Linked DNA regions of Lepisosteus oculatus. Each later gene encodes a partner of the first gene's protein in a complex. Links are inferred from orthologs where the notes say so. Each region holds a gene or a part of one and is shown on either strand. Other genes may lie near its edges.

What was found. The genes of interacting proteins can lie anywhere in the genome.
Region 2: bcas2 (region 1) and ctnnbl1 share a complex: the UniProt entries of both Homo sapiens proteins name them as parts of the PRP19-CDC5L splicing complex. The link is inferred for Lepisosteus oculatus from reciprocal best matches to the Homo sapiens genes BCAS2 and CTNNBL1.

Annotation. Positions count from the first base shown.
Region 1 is NC_090700.1:32,450,442-32,461,155, reverse strand, and holds the start of bcas2 (pre-mRNA-splicing factor SPF27), read right to left. Parts: upstream 4,357-10,714; 5' UTR 4,336-4,356; coding exon 4,243-4,335; intron 2,880-4,242; coding exon 2,787-2,879; intron 2,192-2,786; coding exon 2,121-2,191; intron 1,523-2,120; coding exon 1,361-1,522; intron 1,069-1,360; coding exon 1,018-1,068; intron 53-1,017; coding exon 1-52. UniProt on the Homo sapiens protein: Required for pre-mRNA splicing as component of the activated spliceosome. Component of the PRP19-CDC5L complex that forms an integral part of the spliceosome and is required for activating pre-mRNA splicing.
Region 2 is NC_090711.1:14,928,898-14,939,301, forward strand, and holds the start of ctnnbl1 (beta-catenin-like protein 1), read right to left. Parts: upstream 5,070-10,404; 5' UTR 4,923-5,069; coding exon 4,893-4,922; intron 1-4,892. UniProt on the Homo sapiens protein: Component of the PRP19-CDC5L complex that forms an integral part of the spliceosome and is required for activating pre-mRNA splicing.

The DNA of each region.
Region 1 (10,714 bases):
TCCCGTCAGCTGCTCGTTCTTCCTCTGCCAGTTCAGATCCTGAATCTGCTTCCTGAGATGGGGAGGAAAAATGCAAAATTACATTCAACACAAATCAACACTGCTGAACGATGTTCCCTTTTTGATGGGATGGCACGTAAGAGCAACAAAGTTAGGCTTTTACACTTTGACTTAGACAAGCACCAGATTTCTTAAAACACAATGTAGAAATCACTCTACATTCAACCACCAGAAATGTTTTGATTCAAATCCAGACTAAGCCAAGTTGTGTTTCGGCTCAGTTCCCCTTCACAAGCCCAGGGAGTGAAGAAGTGCTGTCCTGCTCTGCTGTGAACCTCCTTCCTTCCCACATTGGGGACTGGAGGACTCCTGGTGGTCCTCAAAGGCTGAGCTGTTTAAAACCTGAAAATGTTTCAGCCAAAACAGGAAGCTCAACAAGCATTTTCTGCAGTCACAGATGAAAATGGCTATACTGGATGATCTGTTGCTTTGATTACAGAACAGTAACTACAGAAGACAGAACATTGGATCAAATCCAAGTGCCTTATGAAGACCTGAAAAGCAGTTGAAAAGGGATGGGTAACAATCTGTCTGTTACAATTCCTTGAGAAATATCCAAAAGTGAGCTCTGTAATAAAAATGACTTCATATGAAAGCAGCACAAACATGCTTTTAGATACAACTGCTCATCAGGATGGTTACAAGAAAATCTGTGAGTTGTGAGAATGAATTTATAGTATTTCATGCTGCTATCTATTTTTTCCATACTGACATGGTAAGATTTGTTCAAAATGTATCATTTGGACACATGAACAAGCTGTTTTGACTCATTCTTCAGTTTTTTTCCCAAACCATACGATTTAAGTACAATGTTTTGCATTTCATTCCGTTATTCAGTGTTGCCATGGGTAACAATGTTAAATAACCCAACCAGTATAACACTTTTTTTATACTACCACTGAAGGAGACGTCACAGGTGCAACAGGATAAGGAGAGACAATAAAATAAGGGCCTCACCTCAATCTCTGCAGCTCCTTCTGAGACATTTCAATCATGTGCAGCAGGTCTCTGTAAGAAAAAACACATACAAGTGATCAAAAAGGTCACATCACTGGTATGTTGCAGAATGAGAAGAATGAAATGTAAAGTTTGTCTCGTTAGTGCTGGAAAAGGAAGCGAGGATTGAAAGAGAGGATGTGAAAGAGAAAATAAGTGAGGAGGATGTGATAAACTCTACACTCCTCTCTCTCCTGCTCAGGCGTGATAGTCAGTCCCCAGCCTGTTACGCTCTCTACCGCCCTCTTGGATTTAATATACAAAATAGAAGGTTTTACAGCCCTTGTTTCGCATCATCACTCACTCATTGTAGACCTTCCAGGCATTGCTGCCATACTGGGACATGAGCTCCAGGTTCTCGATCCGCACTGCTTGGTGCTCCAGCTGGGCCATTGAGTTATTGACGCAATCCTGCCAGGCTGTGATGTCATTCTTCTGACCCGAAGAGGGAGCGGGCAGCTCGTACCTGTCCAGATCAAACAGGGTCATGGCTTCAGCACAACTGCACTCAAACCCTTGGCCTGATTAGACATTCCCAACAAACCCACAAGCAAGGTAACAGAAATGAAGTATTAGAAATATAAACGGCTTACAGAGGCTGAAAAACAACAAGTGAAAAAGAAAATAAAAATAATTGTGAAACCTCAAACGAAACTCATTTGAGGAGTTTGATACCTTGCGAATATTGCTTAACAGCAAACTATTTTGTTAATGAAGCAAGGAATATAAACAGTGATATCAAGTCATTCGCTACTGATTTAAAGAAACCAATAAAAACTGTAGAAGAGTGGCCTGCCAGTGCACACCTATCCTTACTGCTGACATGTACCAAGGACATGGAGAGGATGTGGGGAAGCCAGTACTGTATACAAACACATTCTGAATTGATGCTCTTCTCCTTACCAGACCATATACAGGGAGCCTGAAGTTTCAATTGAAAAAGCATAAATTCTTATAAAAAAAAAAATTAAAGAGCAAGTTTTCAATGTATAACCAAAACGTTTTCTGCAGGATGACCACAGGGAAAAAAAATCTAAAGCATAGGTGTCCAAATGAAACAGTACCTCTTCATGCTGAGGAGCTCCATAGGCTGTCGGGCTGCTAACCTCTCAAACTCGTTGCGCATTATTTCGGTCTGTTGAGAGAAGAGAATTAGACAATAATTCTCTGCACCAACATGACCATGGCACTGCAGTATTCTTAACCAGGCCAGGCTATTCTTTATCACTTCTGTTTCATGGTGCCTCTTGCATCAAAACAGCCAGAAAACTTATTTCAGAATATACCAGAGAGAAAACAAATAAAGGGCAAAGAGTTTAAATAATGTAACAAAGTGAGAGCTTTAATTGTCATCTAATGCACACTCGATGACAGGGATGAAAGTTGCAAGAGATGTAGCCAACAAAAGCCTTCCCAATATAAAATTCTTGCGACTCTCACAAAACTTTCATCCCATTTTATAACAAATGGGATAGATCTCATTAGACCTTACAACCTTCAGGCAAAGATAACCCAAGAATTTGTTTTTCTTACTACAAGGCAAAGAGATGCAACCTTGGCAGGGAAGAGAATAGCTAATGGAGGTGCTCCACCAAGGGACCATGTAGAACAGTCTTCCCCTTTTCCACTGAGCCCCCAGCAGTCACATTTCAGTTAGTCTGGAGTCAGCAACAACAGCATGCTGGTGTGGGCCTGCAGTGCTCCAGCCTCAACGGGGGTCGTACACTCACCTCAAATGCAGCGAAGTCTGGTGTGGGAAGATAACTCAGGTAATTTTTAGTGGGTCTGTACCTGCGGGTTTCCTCTTCCACCAAAGCAGCGGCCTGAGAAGACAAGATCATTCAGAACAGTCACGCCACTTTCCTTATACCCAACCTTGTCACCAGGACGACGCAGAATGACTCGGCACTACTCCAGGACCATGGAATACAGAACACTCTCTTTATCAGGTAACCCCAAGCATGGCACGACAGAACACAATCATAAGCACACTGTCCTCCAGGCAGCGGCACTTCATCATGTTTTCTCATTTCACATCATGCGTTTCTGCACTGGAACTCAGTATTTCTTCAAGCAGCAAGTTAACAGCCCGTATCACTAATATTATACAACTACACACAACCAATGGAGTGGAGCACATTCCTCTTCACTTTACCTTTGTGCTACTTTTTTATGCCCTAGCCCGCCCTGTCATGGTTCAAAAGCCATGCGACACCACCGAGAACAGCCCATGGAAACTTGATCGAAAGCGTTTTTACATACTAGTCTCACTTGTTGGCTCGGCAACATCGATACCGCAAATTGTAACAGGTAGGGGAAATCAGTAAAGATAAACGGCAACATAATTGAGGAAAATCAGATCAACCTAAATGCCTCCAACTCCCAGAGTGTGCCCCCAGGTGTAAAAGTAATAGAATTTATCTTTTATACTCACTGCAAACTCTCTTGAAAACAATTTGGAAAGCAATTCCAAAGTAATTCTTATCTCCTGTACCATTTCCTCTGCTGGTAATTTTTATCTTCCTTATTTTATTGCTATACTGAACACATTTCTCTCAAAAGATAATAATAAACAAAGAGAAATAAAGAGAGGGTTGTAAAGAAAGTTAAGAGCATCATGGAGTGTGTGACACTACTGTCAATAGCCTATGGACACTTTTTAAAGTATTTTTATATCCTGTCTCACTTGATGAAACGGCATTCACACTCCTCCATCTTGGAGATGCCTCTGCAATAGACCCCCTATGCACTCCCAGACAATAGAAACGTTGTTTCTATTCTTCTATTTCCTAGCATGGAATAAAGCTTTGCTTGTTCTAATGTCAAATAACTCTTTAATCTTGAAACACTTGTCCTGTATTACTTGTTGTTCTGTTTCTGTTGTATTGTTGTGTCGTAAAACAAATGTCGCCCTATACAAATATAACAACAATATAAAGAAAATAGAGCTTGAATGCATGGAAAAAAACAACTTAAGGGAGGGAGTGGCAGGTTTCTGTATGTTCTGGACGAGCACTTGCTAACCATCTATAACTTATAGCATAAGCTCAAACCATTCTTGGAGATGGCACTGGAGACAATGCGTGCCTGCCTCTAACCACGAATGACTGATCGGCTTTCCTCAACTGCTCCAGCAGCTGCTAGAACCAAGTCTTTGAAATTACAATTCAAGCACACAGTTCTTACCGCCTCCCGGACACCAGGAGCATCGTAACCCTGGTCAAAATAAGGTAAAGCGTCCACAAAAACTTCACCGGCCACAGAACTGGTCCCCGCCATGTTGCTTACACACTCATTCAAATACGCATGTGCCCGTCTACGTCATGATGTACTGTTGCACCGCAAAGTATGGAGTATAAGCGCCGGTCAACATTTTGGATAATCCCTAAAATGTGATTCGCAAAGAACAGAGTGATAATTAAAACCTCTTTGAAAAAAGTATGAACACAATTTTCAAAGGAGAAAAGGTTACATAAAGAGATTGTACGTTTTACAATATGTGGAGCTGGTGCTGAGTTGGAGCTCTGCAGCTATACAGTAATAAAACGTGAGGACATAAGAAATACACTAATTTCTAACGATTGCAACAGTGAAAGCAAGTAAATAATTACAGCATAGAATTCAGATGGGATTCCTATACATAGCAAATTCCAACAACATGACAAGAAACTGAAGAATAGGACAAAATCAGTAATTCTACCAGCATTGGGCAAAGATGAACATGTACAAGCGTTAGTCCTTTAAAATCAACACAAGGATGAGTACAAGGAGTACAGAAGACGATTCTGGGGGCACTGGAAATCTTTCCATGGTAAAGGACATCTGCACAGAGCTGGGCATCAGTCGTCTTGGTAAAAGAATCCACGAAGAAATTCTGAAACATTTAAACTAGAATAAAAGAGGAGAGAAACCAAAGAAAACATGACGTTACTTAGGGAGCAAAGACCTAGAGAGAACCAAAAGGAAAAACAGAGAAAATAATCAGGCAATTAAGTGCTTATGCCTTAATGCTCGGACTATCAAAAACCAATGAGATGAGATAGAAGCTACTACATTAGCAAGAAATTATGATGTTATTAGAATCAGAGAAGGGTGGCATGGAGGCACAGTGGTTAGCATTGCTGTCTCACAGAGCGGGGGCTCTGGCTTCAATGCCGGACCTGTGGTGCTTACTACATGGAGTTTGTATGTTCTCCCCATGGTTGTGTGGATTTTCTACCACATTCTAAAGACATACTTGTAGGTTAATTGACTGGGAAAATTGGACTTCGGTGCGAGTGTGTGTCTGTGTTTGTGTCTTCCTGTGGTATGGACTGGCATGTACGGGTCTCCCTTTCGGAGCATATCCTACCATGTGCCTGTTGCTTGCTGCAATAGGCTCTTGCTCCCCTGTGACCCTGAACTGAAAGAAATGGTTAGAAAATGGATGGATGGAATCACAGAAACTTGGCAAACTGAAAATGATGGAGAATCATTCATCTAATTCTGGTCTCCTGTCTGTCCTCCAAGCCCATCTACATTCTATGAGCAGACCCTTTGGAATTATCTATATTCCTGCATTAATTGCTCCTAAAGTGTGATCTGAACTTCATCTAGTCATACTAAATAAACACATTCTGATTAAATTACACACAAACAATTGTACTTTTTCCATGTCTTTATTGAAATCTTTATGTAAGCATTCAGTCAATGCTGAAAAATGTATGTGGACCTCCAGGATAATGACCTATGTTAAAGGGGATATGACATTCAGATGTGCATATGAGGTGCCGTGGCCTCTAAAAAACCTCACAAAGTTTGGTTATCAACAGAGTGTGCTCTTCAGAACAAAGAATTGTTGAACAGTAATGGGTACAGATATAATAAAAAGAAAGATACAGATAAGGGTTGAATACTCAAATTTGGGGTGATGTAATTTGAGGACTATCACACAGATTTGAACTAAAACCCCTGTCCTTCTTGGTTTTTATCAATGGTCTATAATTAATTGTCAAATTTGCAGATGATTAAAAATTAGATTTAGCAACCACTGCAGAAACAGTCAATTAAATTCAAAAATATTTTGATAACACCTGGCATGTGTAACGCAGTGCAGGTTTCTGCATGCGAGCAGTAAAAATAAACTATAAATGCAAAATGGGAAACATTTTGGGAAGCTAGAAGAGGGTATTTATGGAAAAAGTCTTAAGTGTTCATGTTGATACATTATTTACAATACATCTTCCAGACAACATAGGAAAGCAAGCAAACGTGTAGTATATACAGTTAAAAGCTTTGAAAATGAATAAAGGGATTTTACATTAAAATCTGATTGGGGTATGCTAGTGTAGCGACGAGGCTTATTAAAATACAGGAATTAAGTTTTCTGCTCCCTTGCCAGTGAGGCCCCATCTCTCTCTTCATCTCTGTGGTGCAGCCACAGAGAAGCTATTCATGCAGGCTGATTTAAGGTTTCTTTTGATAAGGGACAGCTCCCAAATGGGGATGCACTTAGCTAAGCCTGGCTATCATGATCAATGGTCATCCATTGGCGCCTATCTGTCTAGGGAGTGCCAGATGGACATCTGGATTGCATTCCTAAGTGTCAGGAGTAAGTGACTCATATCTCACCTTGATCAACCAATCAGGAACTGGTAGGGCCGAGTAACCCACGTGGGTCTCTGATGCCCATGAAACTTTCAGCCAATGAAGAACCTGAAGTTCCTCCAGGTAAAAACAGGCAACACAGAGAGCCTGAAGGAGAATTCCAAAAAGAAGAATTCCAGGGGGAAGAACAATTCCAGGGCAGGACGGCCCAGGAGCAGAAAGGCTCCCAAGGGCAGGACATTCTCACAGTGCGCCTCCTGAACATCCTTAGACTCAGCCTGGACCACCACAGAACGGCCAGTGTGTCTGAGTGCCAGAACTTTCCTTTGTTCTAAGAGTCGAGAGCGGAGGTTGCCACGAGTAACCAAAGGATCCACCCGAGGTTACCACCAGCAGCAAGCCTCGTGAACAGGTCGGAACTGTGGACAGCTGAATCAGTATTCAGAACTAGTGCTTCATCACGAACGAACCGGTCCTCTTCCTGACCCGCTGGGACCCACAGTAACTTTTCTCCTGTGCACAACTTTGCCTGTTAAAGCTAACACTAACTAGCGAGTCTTCAGAGAGCAGCACATCGCAGGAACTTCTCTCAAGCCACACAGCATAACCTGGCATGGAGCCAGAGATCGCGGATTGGACAGTAACAAGCCTGCAACTGTTTCTTTGTGCCTGCAGGAGATCTGAATCCCCAGAGATTGGATGAGTATTCAACTTCACTGCATTACAGCTCGAGAATTCAATTGTTATCCCAACCAGTTGATATAAATTTAATTCCTAGGAGTTATGTACTTGTTTCGAGTATCTAATGTAGAAGTTGTAACCAAGTTTATTTACGAAACGGTCTAAATGAATGATATACCGAACGTATGTCCTCTTGGTATGTGTAACTCTTTGTAACTGAATGAATATATACATATATCTTTGTATTCTGATGACCCTCACGATAAGATCTGTTAGGTTTAAATGCATAATCTATGTATTAATAAATGTATCCTCGTGTATTAGTACCTGTGTGTGTGCGCGTTGTTTGAGTTACACCGCATGGTTGGATTCTAAGGCCATTAAAATAATCATTTTGTGACTTACTGCCACAATTAATAATTGTCCCAGTAAATGCCCAAACCCCTACAGAACTGGTGCCTCGTGAGAGCACACTACACTAGTAAGGCCTCATGTAGGCCATGCAATTTGGTCAGTGTCATATAAAAGATATTGCCCTGAAATCAGTAGGGACACATAAATGTTCACATAAATGGTGAACAAAATACTTGGATCACTTAACTACTAACAAAAGCTAGATGGGCTGAATGACCTTCTCTTTTTGAAAACTTTCTGTCTTTCTTGGGGAACTGTTTTCAGTATTGGTTTACTGTGTCATTTTATCAATCCACATTTCAGGGTACCTTCTACTTTGTACCACAACCCCATTCCTGCAAGACTGTTTCACACTGCATCTGCTGGGCAGGGCAGTGCTGCCGATGATGTGTGGGATGGAAAAATGTGACAAGGGAAAATAAATAAATTAACCCCCACCCCCCAAAAAATATCTGTAACCTAATAAAAAGCACTTGCTACAGTACACAGTACACTGAGGACATGCATTTTGTCTGGAGTCAGTAATTCAATAAAGCTCTGAACTGAGGTATGTACTGTACATAATGTTTATTTTGGGGAAACTTCTACAGACATCATTGTTAAAACATGTAAAACTGTACAGAAACTGGGAGTTCCAGGATGCAAAGACAACAACAGCTCATTTCTGGTTCTGGCTTTAAAAAGTTTAAATATAAAAACATGTCCAGGTAACATGTTGTCCAAGATATCCTGAAGACAAAACATACAGTATGTTAATGCAAGACACACAAAGCACTTAATTTATTCCACTTAACCATTTGGTCAACCGAATGGAAGCTTTCAAAGTTTCTCTTTTTTTCCAAAGCAAGCTGTCTCAGACACAGACTTCTCAAATGCACATTTCTGGTCCCGACTTGTTTTACATTTTCACAAGCTAGGAAGTGCCAAGTCGAAAAAGTACAGTTCAGCACAGTTTCGTTTACTGCAGAAAGTGGGGGTGTTCTTGATAAACACAAGACAGATAAAGGCAGGGAACGAGTGGTAAAAATGAATTAAAATTACATTTATAATCACTTTTCACTACAATAAATGCTTTTTGTATCACATATAGATCCATTTTCCTTTAACTAGGGAATTGGAAAATGTTTTATACATATTTGTGCAACACACAGTAGCACGGTGAAGGAAGAGAGCTGCAAATCTCAAACAACAACACTTGTTGTCACAGAGAGCACAGAAGAAACTACAGCTCCCGGGTACCTCTGTGGTCGCTTGACAAGGCATCAAGGGTGTCACAGCCAATATGTAACACAAAAAGGAAATTCCTGTCAGTTCCTGTTCTGGCTGTAGGACAGGGGTTCCCAGCCTTCACACACCTGCTGTTTTTTCTCCCCACTTGAGTATTCCAATAATTGAATTGTCAAATTTGAACTCTTTAATTGTTTTCAGTTCCAAAAAATATAAAACCTCCAAAGTTCAAATCAAATAACTGGTCAGTTCACTTAATGTTTAATTTAAATAAAAAGCTAATCAACAATGATAAACCAGCAGGTATGTTAGTCTCCAGGAGCATGTCAGGAGAGTGCTTTGGCATCTGAGATGTCTTTTCTGCTCCCTCTGTCAGCCTACACTGGCACAGCAGCAATTTATGGTTTAAATGCTCATGGTTCTTCAACCATTTAATTCAAGAAACATTCAAGGGAAAAACAAAGGAGACATCGAACATTTAAATATTTTTATGCTGCAAGCCACAATCAATAATCGTCCTCTTTTCATGGGATCTTTTAACATTTAAGAGAAAGTACAGTAGCGATTTCCTGGGAACTTCCTGGGAACTTCTAAAAATGGGATGCGATCTCTCTCACAAGAGTACACGAGCAAAGACTTCTGGCTGACAAACAGCACTTTTCTACATTATCTGAACTTAGGGGAATGTTACAACACTGCCATTTTGTTTAACAAACCGGAACTGAATGTCTTTCCGCACTAGTTCGCAACTGCTGCACGTTTATACATAAGAGATTATCAGGTCACCTTATTGCAGCATTTTTTTAATGTCCTAGACAAATTAAATAAAAGGTTATAGAAAGCGACCCCATATTTCCCCTAAACGTTACAAGTCCAATAGTGTTTTTTGTTCCCCCACCATTTAAACAGTGGACACCCTGTACAGGTTTGTCATATACAGTAGGTCAGTTGTGTATAGTGAGACAGGAGTGTATATTTCAGATCTCATCAGATACATTCCCTTGGAGCTAACTTGATGTTATGCAATTCAAAGGATATCCTTTAACTTACTTCTGTTTTGCTTTCATTATTTCAATGAAATTCAGTGAAGCATAATTCTATCTTACTAGAACAAGTAGGGGTTAATTCATTTCTGACATATTAGAAAAAATACAATAAAAACACGACTTCTGCTGTGGAACATTTTTAAGTGACCCATTGTTGCCCAATGTCCAAACAATGTCTCATTGATCCCTAGCCTATAAAAGGTGGACAAGAATGAGGTATCTTTCTAAAACCCATACCATATTGTATTATAGGCGGCTTTTATTACAATTGGCCATTGAGGGGTTCCCACTATACTGTACATTACACACAGGCTGGCAAGAAACTAAATGAACTTTATATGAACTCTCTTCCTCAAATTCCAAAAATCATAAAGTGCAGAACTAACAAAGAGTCAACATGACTATGGATGAAATGAGTGAAGTTATTTCTTTCTTTACATAAAATTATATTTAGAATGATTTTGTCTGGAATTAGGGGGGGAAGAGTGAATTCTGTACTGAAATAAGAAATAACTATGAAAATTATCATCCATATTCTGGCCTGTATGGAACAAATACTGTGCAAGGAAATACAGCATGGAACAAATACTGTGCAAGGAAACCACCATAACATGATTTAAAACTAGCAGGTTCCTTTAAGTAAACCATTGGTAGAGTGGAGAAAATATTCTGACTAAAATTAAAAATAATTTTCAGTTTGCATT
Region 2 (10,404 bases), on another chromosome or scaffold:
TTTTCATTTTAATATGTCTGCAAACAGTGCAATCAAGGTTTCATTTCCAAATGGTATTGCAGCTCAGACAAAGCCTGGAGGCCCAAGATAGCACACTCATGACTGCCGACATTATTTAGGAACCATTAATAACATGGTTACATTTGAAAGAAAATGGACTTTTAGAACAATATGTTCCAGTGAAGAATACAAATTTAAAACAGATGAAAAAAAGTAAATACTGCACATCTATAGACACTGCAGCCATTCTTAGTTCATACTTAATTTGCATATTTAAGAAATGTCACTTTATTGACTCTTTGTGTTTGAGGACTTTATTATAGAAAATGCCATTGTACAGTAGCTGTCCCCTTCCCTTATGTCCCCCACGTTTTTCATAAGTAGAGATGGACCGATGAGCGTTTTGTGAGGCCCATACCGATCGTCACTTTCTGTCAGGTGGTTGGTGTGTTACTATCCAGCCAAAGACACAAAAGATGGTAGAAACTTACATTGTTTTACTAACAAGTAAGACAATGATTGTTACAACCACCCACATGAAGTAACAAGCTGCAGTCTAACAGTTCTTTTATCCAATTAAGGCAAAAGGCCATAATCTGAAAAGTATTTCCAACCTAGATAGTATGGCTCTAGGTGAGATATCAAGCAGTAGAATCCTACATCTTCAATAACCGAAAATGGCTGGTTATCTAGCGCAATAAATTCCATTATTTTGGTCGTGATTCCTTTTGCTTTCGGGCCATTGCTGTTATACTTTTGCTGTTATCTCTCAAGTGTCGCCTGCACTGACGGTTGTCTTAACGTCGGTGTAGCTTTATCCGTTTTTGCTAGCTATGCTAGTTTCTGATACTCACTGTACTTGGGCAGGTGATGTGCTCTCAAGTGTTGTGTCAGGTTAGTTGTATTAAAATTCTTTGTGTTGCCCCTGCCACGAGAAAGGTTAGTTTTACAAACATATTGGCTTGACCTGGAATGAAAACTGCCAGACGGATGATATGTTTTCATTCCAAGGCACACGCCGGTCACATATTTAGAATGGAAATCTGCCGATTCCGATCTATAGCTAATCGATCCTTCGACCCCTGTTCATAAGCTTCCAAGATCTTTTATTTTAAGGCCTTAAACAAGTATAGTTTAGAACTATCAATGCTAACTTGATAAAACAGTCCATTAGCAATTAGGAACCTGAAATGAAAGTCTACAGAAAGAAAACCACTATTGTGCAACAATCAGTTAAAATACTTTGGTGAACGCATATAGAGATTACACAGAAAACCTAATCTTTCTTTTTGTTCAGTCTATCTATAGCCCAAATGATCCCAAAGCCTTATCAAGTATTTTATTGACAAATTCTAATGAGGCAACATGCACACAATACAACAGCAAATTCCAGCAGCCACAGCTCTTTGTAAATAGATTCATACTATATATTCTGAATCTAATCTAATTTCCACTCATTCCTCGGCTTTAGCAATGAGATTCATGTTTGGTGTCACTTTATCAAGTATTCAGAATATCATATCTTACTAATATTTTTCAGCACATGCTAAGATGACTGTAACTCTCTTCATCTTACCTTCTATTTCGATTACTTTTAATTTCAAGTATTTGTCTCTAGACCAGTGTATCTCAAACCATAGTCCGTGGATGCCAAACATCCTTGAGGCTACAAGGCTTCAAGTGGGGTCTACAAAATAAAGACAAAGTATAAAGAATCCCACCTTGTCAGAGTGGCCTAACAAAAGTGACTAAGCTGCTATTTCTGTTTACATGGTGGTGTAGATGGTCCGTAGTCCCCAACCATCAACATAATAAAATCTTACTGCTTTGTGGCACGAAACGAGCACTGAACTCGGATTTTGGCAGGGGAATACTGAAGAATTTTTTTACAGAAAGTGAGTCAATGGCATACAAAACGAACAGGTTTTTAAAACATCCCCAAACTAATGCATAAGCACAGAGCATAGAGTCTTCCCATGCACAGGACATCAATCCAGAACGTAGTCAACGAGAAAAAACAAAGACCACAATTCCAGAAAACGCTCTGAAAGCATCTATGAAAGCAAGTTCTCTGGGCTGCTAAAAGTTAAAAAAAAAATCCCACACCATTGGAGAAAAATACTCTTCCAGCTGCTGTGAAAATGTGTGAAGTAGTGGTAAGCAAAGTAAACTGAGGCTATAGCACTTTCTAACGACAGTAGGTAAGCAAACTGTCTGAGGAGCTGTCAAATGATGCAGAATGCCAGCTCACTAAAAGACAAACGTGAACAGTTTATACTTCAGTCTGATGAGGCAACGGATGGTGGTGATGCAGTGAAATGACTAGCTTATATTTGACTGGGGGGTAAAAAAGAAAATCCTCCAAGACTGTCAGATGTTACCAGAACAGACTGCTGAGGAAATGCTGAAATTGCTGGATGATGTTGTGAAAGCTGAATCACTGAAAGGGAGACATGCTGCTGTTTACACTGACAGTGCCACTGCTGTAACAAGTAATATATAGGAGTGGAGTTACAGGAGGAACAGCAGCCATCAGCCACTGGTGATGTAACTGTGTGAACACCTCCAGTCTCTTGCATGAAAGGAAAACATGTCCCAAATGACATGACATGACACATGAAAAGCTGCTGTCCATCTGGGACTCTCGGGGGTTCCTCTGGGGTAAAGTCGCCTGGCTAGCTTTTATCTGAAACCCACGATTTTGTCATGATCACTTTTGTAACCCTCATCCTCAGGTGATCAAGTCTCCTCCTTCTTCTCTTTCAGAAATTGACTCACGTTTTTAAAAAAATGGGCAATTTAAAATGCATCATGAAGACCCTATATTTAAAATCCTAATTGTAAAGCAACTCTTCACACTACCCATGAAACTGTTAAAATACAGCTAAGGTGGCTGCCATCAAATTTGGTCTGTCTGACACTGGGAGGGGTTGTTTTCTCATTTATTCTTCATTACACACATTTTACAAATATGTTCAATATCTATTAATGTGATCTACTACTTCACATTTATCGAAAGTTCCAGACTCTCTGCCACCATTATGTGTTCCTGTAATGCACCGATTCCTGCACTGATATGCAAAACAAGCTTATTTTCTTTTTGGTGCAGAACTGGAAATAGGTTACAAGCCAAATATGTCTCCAACATAAATCTTAAAATAACTATTGGAATTCAGCTTATCCTCATAACACATCTATGCACTATAATGGGTCTTTCGGCTCTTTATTAGACCTTCTCTAATGCTTCCTGATCTCCTTCCTAAAGTGGTGAACAGGACTGTATGCAGTAAAACAATGGGGACCTCACTAATGCATTGCAGAGTTTCTACATAACTGCTTTTGACTTGCTAGGTAGCCAAGCATTCTGTTTGCCTTTTGTTAAGAGCTTATGTGAAAAGATTAGACACAATAATTTTACAAATTTATGAGGTGTTTTTCTAATTCTGCACCTCTCATGGTAGAATGAAGTCATATACTCTTCTTACGTATACACAACACTCTATGCTGACTAATAATGAATTTAATTCTTTATTTTATTATCTGATGAGACATCTGCCTTCATCTGATTTTACACAGCGCTTCTTATTATCTCCTGATCATCTTTGTGAATGATATCATTGATTTCTAAGAACCCTTGGGTTTACACGATCTGGATTCATTCCATTATGATTTTTTACTAATACTTCAATTTCTAATACTTCCAATTTATATTATAAAGTTATGAATGTGTATATTGTGTTTTGTGATAATGATCATAACTGCAAAACCTTCTGAGCAAGGCCCTTAACCCAAATTACTGCAGGGGCTCTGACCCCAAGCTTCTCTCTCCCTGTCTGTGTCTGTATCTCATGGAGAGCTGGGGTATGTGAAAAGACAAATTCCTAATGCAAGAAATTGTATAGGACTAATAAAGTGATGTTATGTTAAACATTTCTTTTACTACTAACAACAGACCAAAAAAGCGTTTGGGTTTTGTTTTTGCTTGGATGAACTCATCCTTTCAAGTTGGCCATTCAGGTTCCTTTTTTTCAAGGCAGATGGCATTTTACAATATTTCTTTATTTATAATCTCCAAGCTGTTATTAATCACATTTAACAGATATGTCATTCATGTTGGGGATGCTTCAGTGATTTTGTTTATCTTTGAAATATTCTCTTACCACGTTATTATTAATAATAATTATTTTAAATCTGTCTTAATTGTCAAAGTAATTGGTATGTCCAATTTATGTCCTGAAGACCCTGTTTTATTTGGTCTTGGGTGTTCGATGGTTGTGGACAAATCATACCATTGAAGCACAAAGCAACTCTTCTTTACTTTATATCCTTACACTTTTACTCTCCCTCACTCCTGAAGGCTCCTCAATAACTGAAATGAGATTTCAAAGACTTCGACTGATTATAATTGATCATCTCTGACAATTCTTATAATGTATGTATACTACCAGAAGTAACTACCGGGGACGGTCAAGACCACGTACACCCAGTGTCAGTAAAAGAGAAATCAGGTAACACTCTCTCTGTGCTACCGTTCAGCCACATCAACATATTTTCCTTTGCTCAAGAGAAGAGAGACGGAAAAAAACAGTTAATTGAGAAAATATGCTAGACAGTGTCTGGAGCAAAGCACTTAAACGCAAACAAAACAGAACTAGTTTAAGCACCACATATAGCAATCACAATACCTTAATCTAAAAACAAAGACGCTGCACTTTTTTTCTAAACACACTGGAAATTGAACTTTTCTCAAAATACGTAAATACACACAAATTGTTCTTCCACAATGTATTTATTTACACTCAAGAAACGGTTCTACTCAGATACAAACCACGGCCTAGCGCTGTAAGTTCATTTCCGAACACGCGTAAACAAGTTATATATTATATATTTACCTGATAACTCAAAAGTTCACCTACATCCATGGTGAATACTTAAAAAACAACGAATAAGTCAACGTTCTTCTAAATAAACAAGTTTTAAATCCCACCGGCGAACTGAATCATCGATGCTCCAAGAAATTTTAAAAAGTACCACGCTGCCGTAAATCAAATTATCCCACTGACGCAAAATGCGTTTGTTGTGCGACAGACAGCGTTTGTGCCGTGAGTCAAAATGTACTGTACATTAGTTTTACTTGTACCGGTGAAAGGTTGATTTTTAACCTTTTATTTCCTAACGTTCTTGCGAAATTTTGGATTCTTATTTTTTGAAGAAAATTTCGGTAGTTTTTCGTACTTGTGCTCACTTAATAAATGCTTACACTATTAGCAATTTATAGGCAAATTAGGGTCCAGATTCACTAATCCTTTTGTACGCAGCAAATTGGCATCGTTATCATTTTTTCTTAATTGGTGCGATCTTATACCCAATTTAAACCTATTAGAGTAGCGATACGATCATTTTAAAAACATACAAAATGCCTTGATAAAAAGTGAGGGCATTAACATTTCTTCCTAAATTTGCTTAACCTGCTTTCGGACAATTAAATTATATGTCCTGCTCCAAAATACAATAATAAAAATGGAAGTAAAGCTGTCTTTTAATGCTGAAAAATAATTTATATTTTACAGCTACAAATGGGGTTCTATAAGTGATCATGCAATTTCTCACTCCGAATGAAACATTTCCCTTCATAATCATCTTGTATAACAGTCGGGTATACGCATCGGTACTCTGCCTGTCTTTCATGGATTTCATGGAGAAAAACATTACTAACATTAGTAACAGAACATTACTAACATGTCTAATCGTTCTCCATCCAGAAGGAGGTTTAAGTAAAAAAAAAATAGATGATTGTTTTAACTTTGTTTCCGTTTGAACTGGTTCTGAAAGACACCACGCAATCCTCCTGCTTATTTCTCTCTGCCTCACATTACCTAAATCTCATTTGTACTGCACCTTTTAAAGATGGTTCCAAAATCAGCACAATCTCTGGAAAGGGTGGATACAGAAGAAGCCGACATGATGTCCTCCCATCCAAAATAAACCACAGCACCCTTATACAGTAACTCATGCAGTAAAAATGAACAAGCTATTAGGACAAATGTTTTGGCCTGGGTGTCAGATCTATAGCAAGCAAATTCTATAGGTTTGTCCTCTAGTTTATTCTCTGTTTGTGGAATGTGCACTTTCTGCACATATTTCTGGTCATAGCAAATTCATGCCCTCATTTGAATGCGAAGTATTTTTATAAAAACCTTCAATTTTGTGAATAATACACAAAATAGATAGAACTTGAATGGAGAACTGTAAATATCACAGTGACTAACAACACTTGTATAAAACTCCTGAAACCCAGTAATACAGTATGTGCTTCAGACCAATATCTAAACTTAGTTTAATCCTCCATCTCATTTATATAATGAAGATATTCACAGGACTTAAAATGCAAGGAGCCTGGCTGTGCACTATGGAAACAAACTAGTTTTTTGTTTTCGATTCTTGTATCTCCTGCCTGTTGTCAGTGTAAGAACACTGTGCCAACACCGTGGCCTTACAGAAAGCACGAGAGGAAGGACGCGTCCTCTGGGGAACACAGATTCAAGGACACTCAGCAGTATGCTGTGAATTACAATAGCAATCTACTGGCTTATCACCTCGCGCAATTAAATTGTTTCTAGTTTTTTTCTCCTTTTTGTTTTTCTTTGAAAAGGGCTCTCCATTCACCACTCAATCCTGGACCCATGAAATGTATAGTCTCGCTCGGCGTTTCGAAAACACAGGCACATTGTTGACATGATGACTTTGAGATCTATAGAAATGCATAATGTGTATGAAAAAACTCCTCCATCAGCTTCCTTTCAGATGCCCCTTTCTGAAATATTGTTGTCGCATATTGTCAAGGACAGTGTATATTGATATTGGATTTCAATAGGTGTATTATTACAAATAATGTGTGATTGCACCCCACTAAAACTCATACATTCTCATAAATTCTGGTTTACAATATATCCAAGGGTATCAGTGAAGCTAATGACTAATCTCCCACTCAACCAAAACTAATATTACATTTTTGGTCATCATATTATATGAAAATGCCTGCTCCCTGGAAAACGTTTAAAGAAGGGAGACCACAAGTCTTGAATAAAGAAGATAGTATGGTGGATTGGACTCAGATATTTAAAATTAAGTAAAGGCTTTGATAAAATGTTAGTGACAATTGCTCTATGTCACAATCAAAACTGAAATGATAATGAGGGCTCAGTGTAAATTGATGACAGACAGACACATTTTTAACATGAAAGAGCAGAAGTGATCTACAGAAAACTATCACACTGACATGTTTTGTAACCAGCACTCAGAGAACTAGATAGCAATCATGCTATCTAGGCAAAGTACCCTATGCTTTTTAAATGCTTTATTTATGAGTAACAAAAAACATACAACAATAAGAAACATTAAATTAAATAAAGCATGCATACATGATACGAATTGACAGGGATAACCAATTACTTTCTAAAACTAATTTCACATAACTTTGGTTAACTTACTTATTTTAAATGTTCTGAATGGTTTTAATGTAAAATTCCATTTCTATTTTAAACAGATTAAAATTTGGAAAAGACTTTGTCAATTGCATTTTATGGCTATTGTATCCCCCCATAATCAGCATTAGCTTTCTTATTAATATACAATTTTGATCCATATGTGTGAGGGTAAAATAAAGCAGAGTGTAAGATTTTCTTTGTTTCTTTATTCATGTTAAAAAATAAATATTGATAATCTAATTTGAGTTTAAATATTGGATAATATTTGTTCAACAGGATAAATTCTAAGAATAATTTTAGATGACACTTCTTTAATTTCATTGGTAAGACAATACATACTTTCTGCTATTTTATATTATAATTTGAGATCCAATTAGTCTTTGCAGGTGGAATGTAATTGGTAAACATGTGTTCCTTATATAATTATTGTTACATTTCTTTTCTAAAATGTTAACACTACCCAACAAAACGCTAGGTGTTAATTTATTGGTTTAGTAATTATAGGTTCTGCAGTAGCCCCTAAAGAGAGTAATGATCCCCCTAAGGCTAGCATCAAATACTATTGTAAATTCTTTTGGCATAACTGAAATTTTAAAGATCCCCTGGCCATTTATCCATAAAAGTAATAATAATAATTGCTTACACTTATAAACCACTTTTCTGGACACACCACTCAAAGCCCTTTACAGATTATGGAGACTCCCCTCTACCACGACCAATGTGCAGCCCCACCTGGATATATACAGTGCCTTGCGAAAGTATTCGGCCCCCTTGAACTTTTCAACCTTTTGCCACATTTCAGGCTTCAAACATAAAGATATACATTTTTTATTTTATGTGAAGAATCACCAACAAGTGGGACACAATTGTGAAGTGGAACGAAATCTATTGGATTTTTGAAACTTTTTTAACTAATAAAAAAATGAAAAGTGGGGCGTGCAAAATTATTCGGCCCCTTTACTTTCAGTGCAGCAAACTCACTCCAGAAGTTCAGCGAGGATCTCTGAATGATCCAATGTTGTCCTAAATGACTGATGGTGATAAATAGAATCCACCTGTGTGTAATCAAGTCTCTGTATAAATGCACCTGCTCTGTGATAGTCTCAAGGTTCTGTTGAAAGCGCAGAGAGCATCATGAAGACCAAGGAACACACCAGGCAGGTCCGTAATACTGTTGTGGAGAAGTTTAAAGCCGGATTTGGATACAAAAAGATTTCCCAAGCTTCAAACATCCCAAGGAGCACTGTGCAAGCGATCATCTTGAAATGGAAGGAGTATCAGACCACTGCAAATCTACCAAGACCTGGCCGTCCCTCTAAACTTTCAGCTCAGACAAGGAGAAGACTGATCAGAGATGCAGCCAAGAGGCCCATGATCACTCTGGATGAACTGCAGAGAACTACAGCTGAGGTGGGAGAGTCTGTCCATAGGACAACAATCAGTCTTACACTGCACAAATCTGGCCTTTATGGAAGAGTGGCAAGAAGAAAGCCATTTCTCAAAGATATCCATTAAAAAGTCTCGTCTAAAGTTTGCCACAAGCCACCTGGGAGACACCCCAAACATGTGGAAGAAGGTGCTCTGGTCAGATGAAACCAAAATCGAACTTTTTGGCCACAATGCAAAACGATATGTTTGGCGTAAAAGCAACACAGCTCATCACCCTCAACACACCATCCCCACTGTCAAACATGGTGGTGGCAGCATCATGGTTTGGGCCTGCTTTTCTTCAGCAGGGACAGGGAAGATGGTTAAAATTGAGGGGAAGATGGATGCAGCCAAATACAGGACCATTCTGGATGAAAACCTGTTGGAGTCTGCAAAAGACCTGAAACTGGGACGGAGATTTATCTTCCAACAAGACAATGATCCCAAACATACAGCAAAATCTACAAAGGAATGGTTCACAAATAAACGTTTCCAGGTGTTTGAATGGCCAAGTCAAAGTCCAGACATGAATCCAATCGAGAATCTGTGGAAAGAGCTGAAAACTGCTGTTCACAAACGCTCTCCATCCAACCTCACTGAGCTCGAGCTGTTTTGCAAGGAAGAATGGGCAAGAATTTCAGTCTCTCGACGTGCAAAACTGATAGAGACATACCCCAAGCGACTTGCAGCTGTAATCGCAGCAAAAGGTGGCTCTACAAAGTATTAACGCAAGGGGGCTGAATAATTTTGCACGCCCCACTTTTCATTTTTTTTATTAGTTAAAGTTTCAAAAATCCAATAGATTTCGTTCCACTTCACAATTGTGTCCCACTTGTTGGTGATTCTTCACATAAAATAAAAAATGTATATCTTTATGTTTGAAGCCTGAAATGTGGCAAAAGGTTGAAAAGTTCAAGGGGGCCGAATACTTTCGCAAGGCACTGTAAGCCATATTGCACCAGTACACTCACCACACATCAGCTATCAGTGGGGAGAAGAGCAGAGTAATGAAGCCAATTCATAGATGGGGATTATAGGAGGCCATGACTGGTAAGGGCCAATGGAAAATTTGGCCAGGACACCGGGGTTACACCCCTACTCTTTTCAAGAAATGCCCTGGGATTTTTAATGACCACAGACCTCAGGATCTTGGTTTTACGTCTCATCCGAAGGACAGCGCCTGTTTACAGTATAGTGTCCTCGTCACTAAACTGGGGCATTAGGGCCCACACAGACCGTAGTGTGAGCGCCCCCTGCTGGCCCCAATAACACCTCTTCCAGCAGCAACCTTTCCCAGGAGGTCTTCCATCCAGGTACTGACCAGGCTTACACCTGCTGGGTCGCCAGTTGTGAGTTGCAGGGTGATGTAGCTGTTGGCATAGGGTAGAGTAGTAAGAGTAGGGAGCTATCCTGGTGTCCGGGCCAAATTCCCCCCCCCCTCCTTTTACCGTGGCCTCCAAATTGTCCCCATGTATGATTGGCTTGCTCT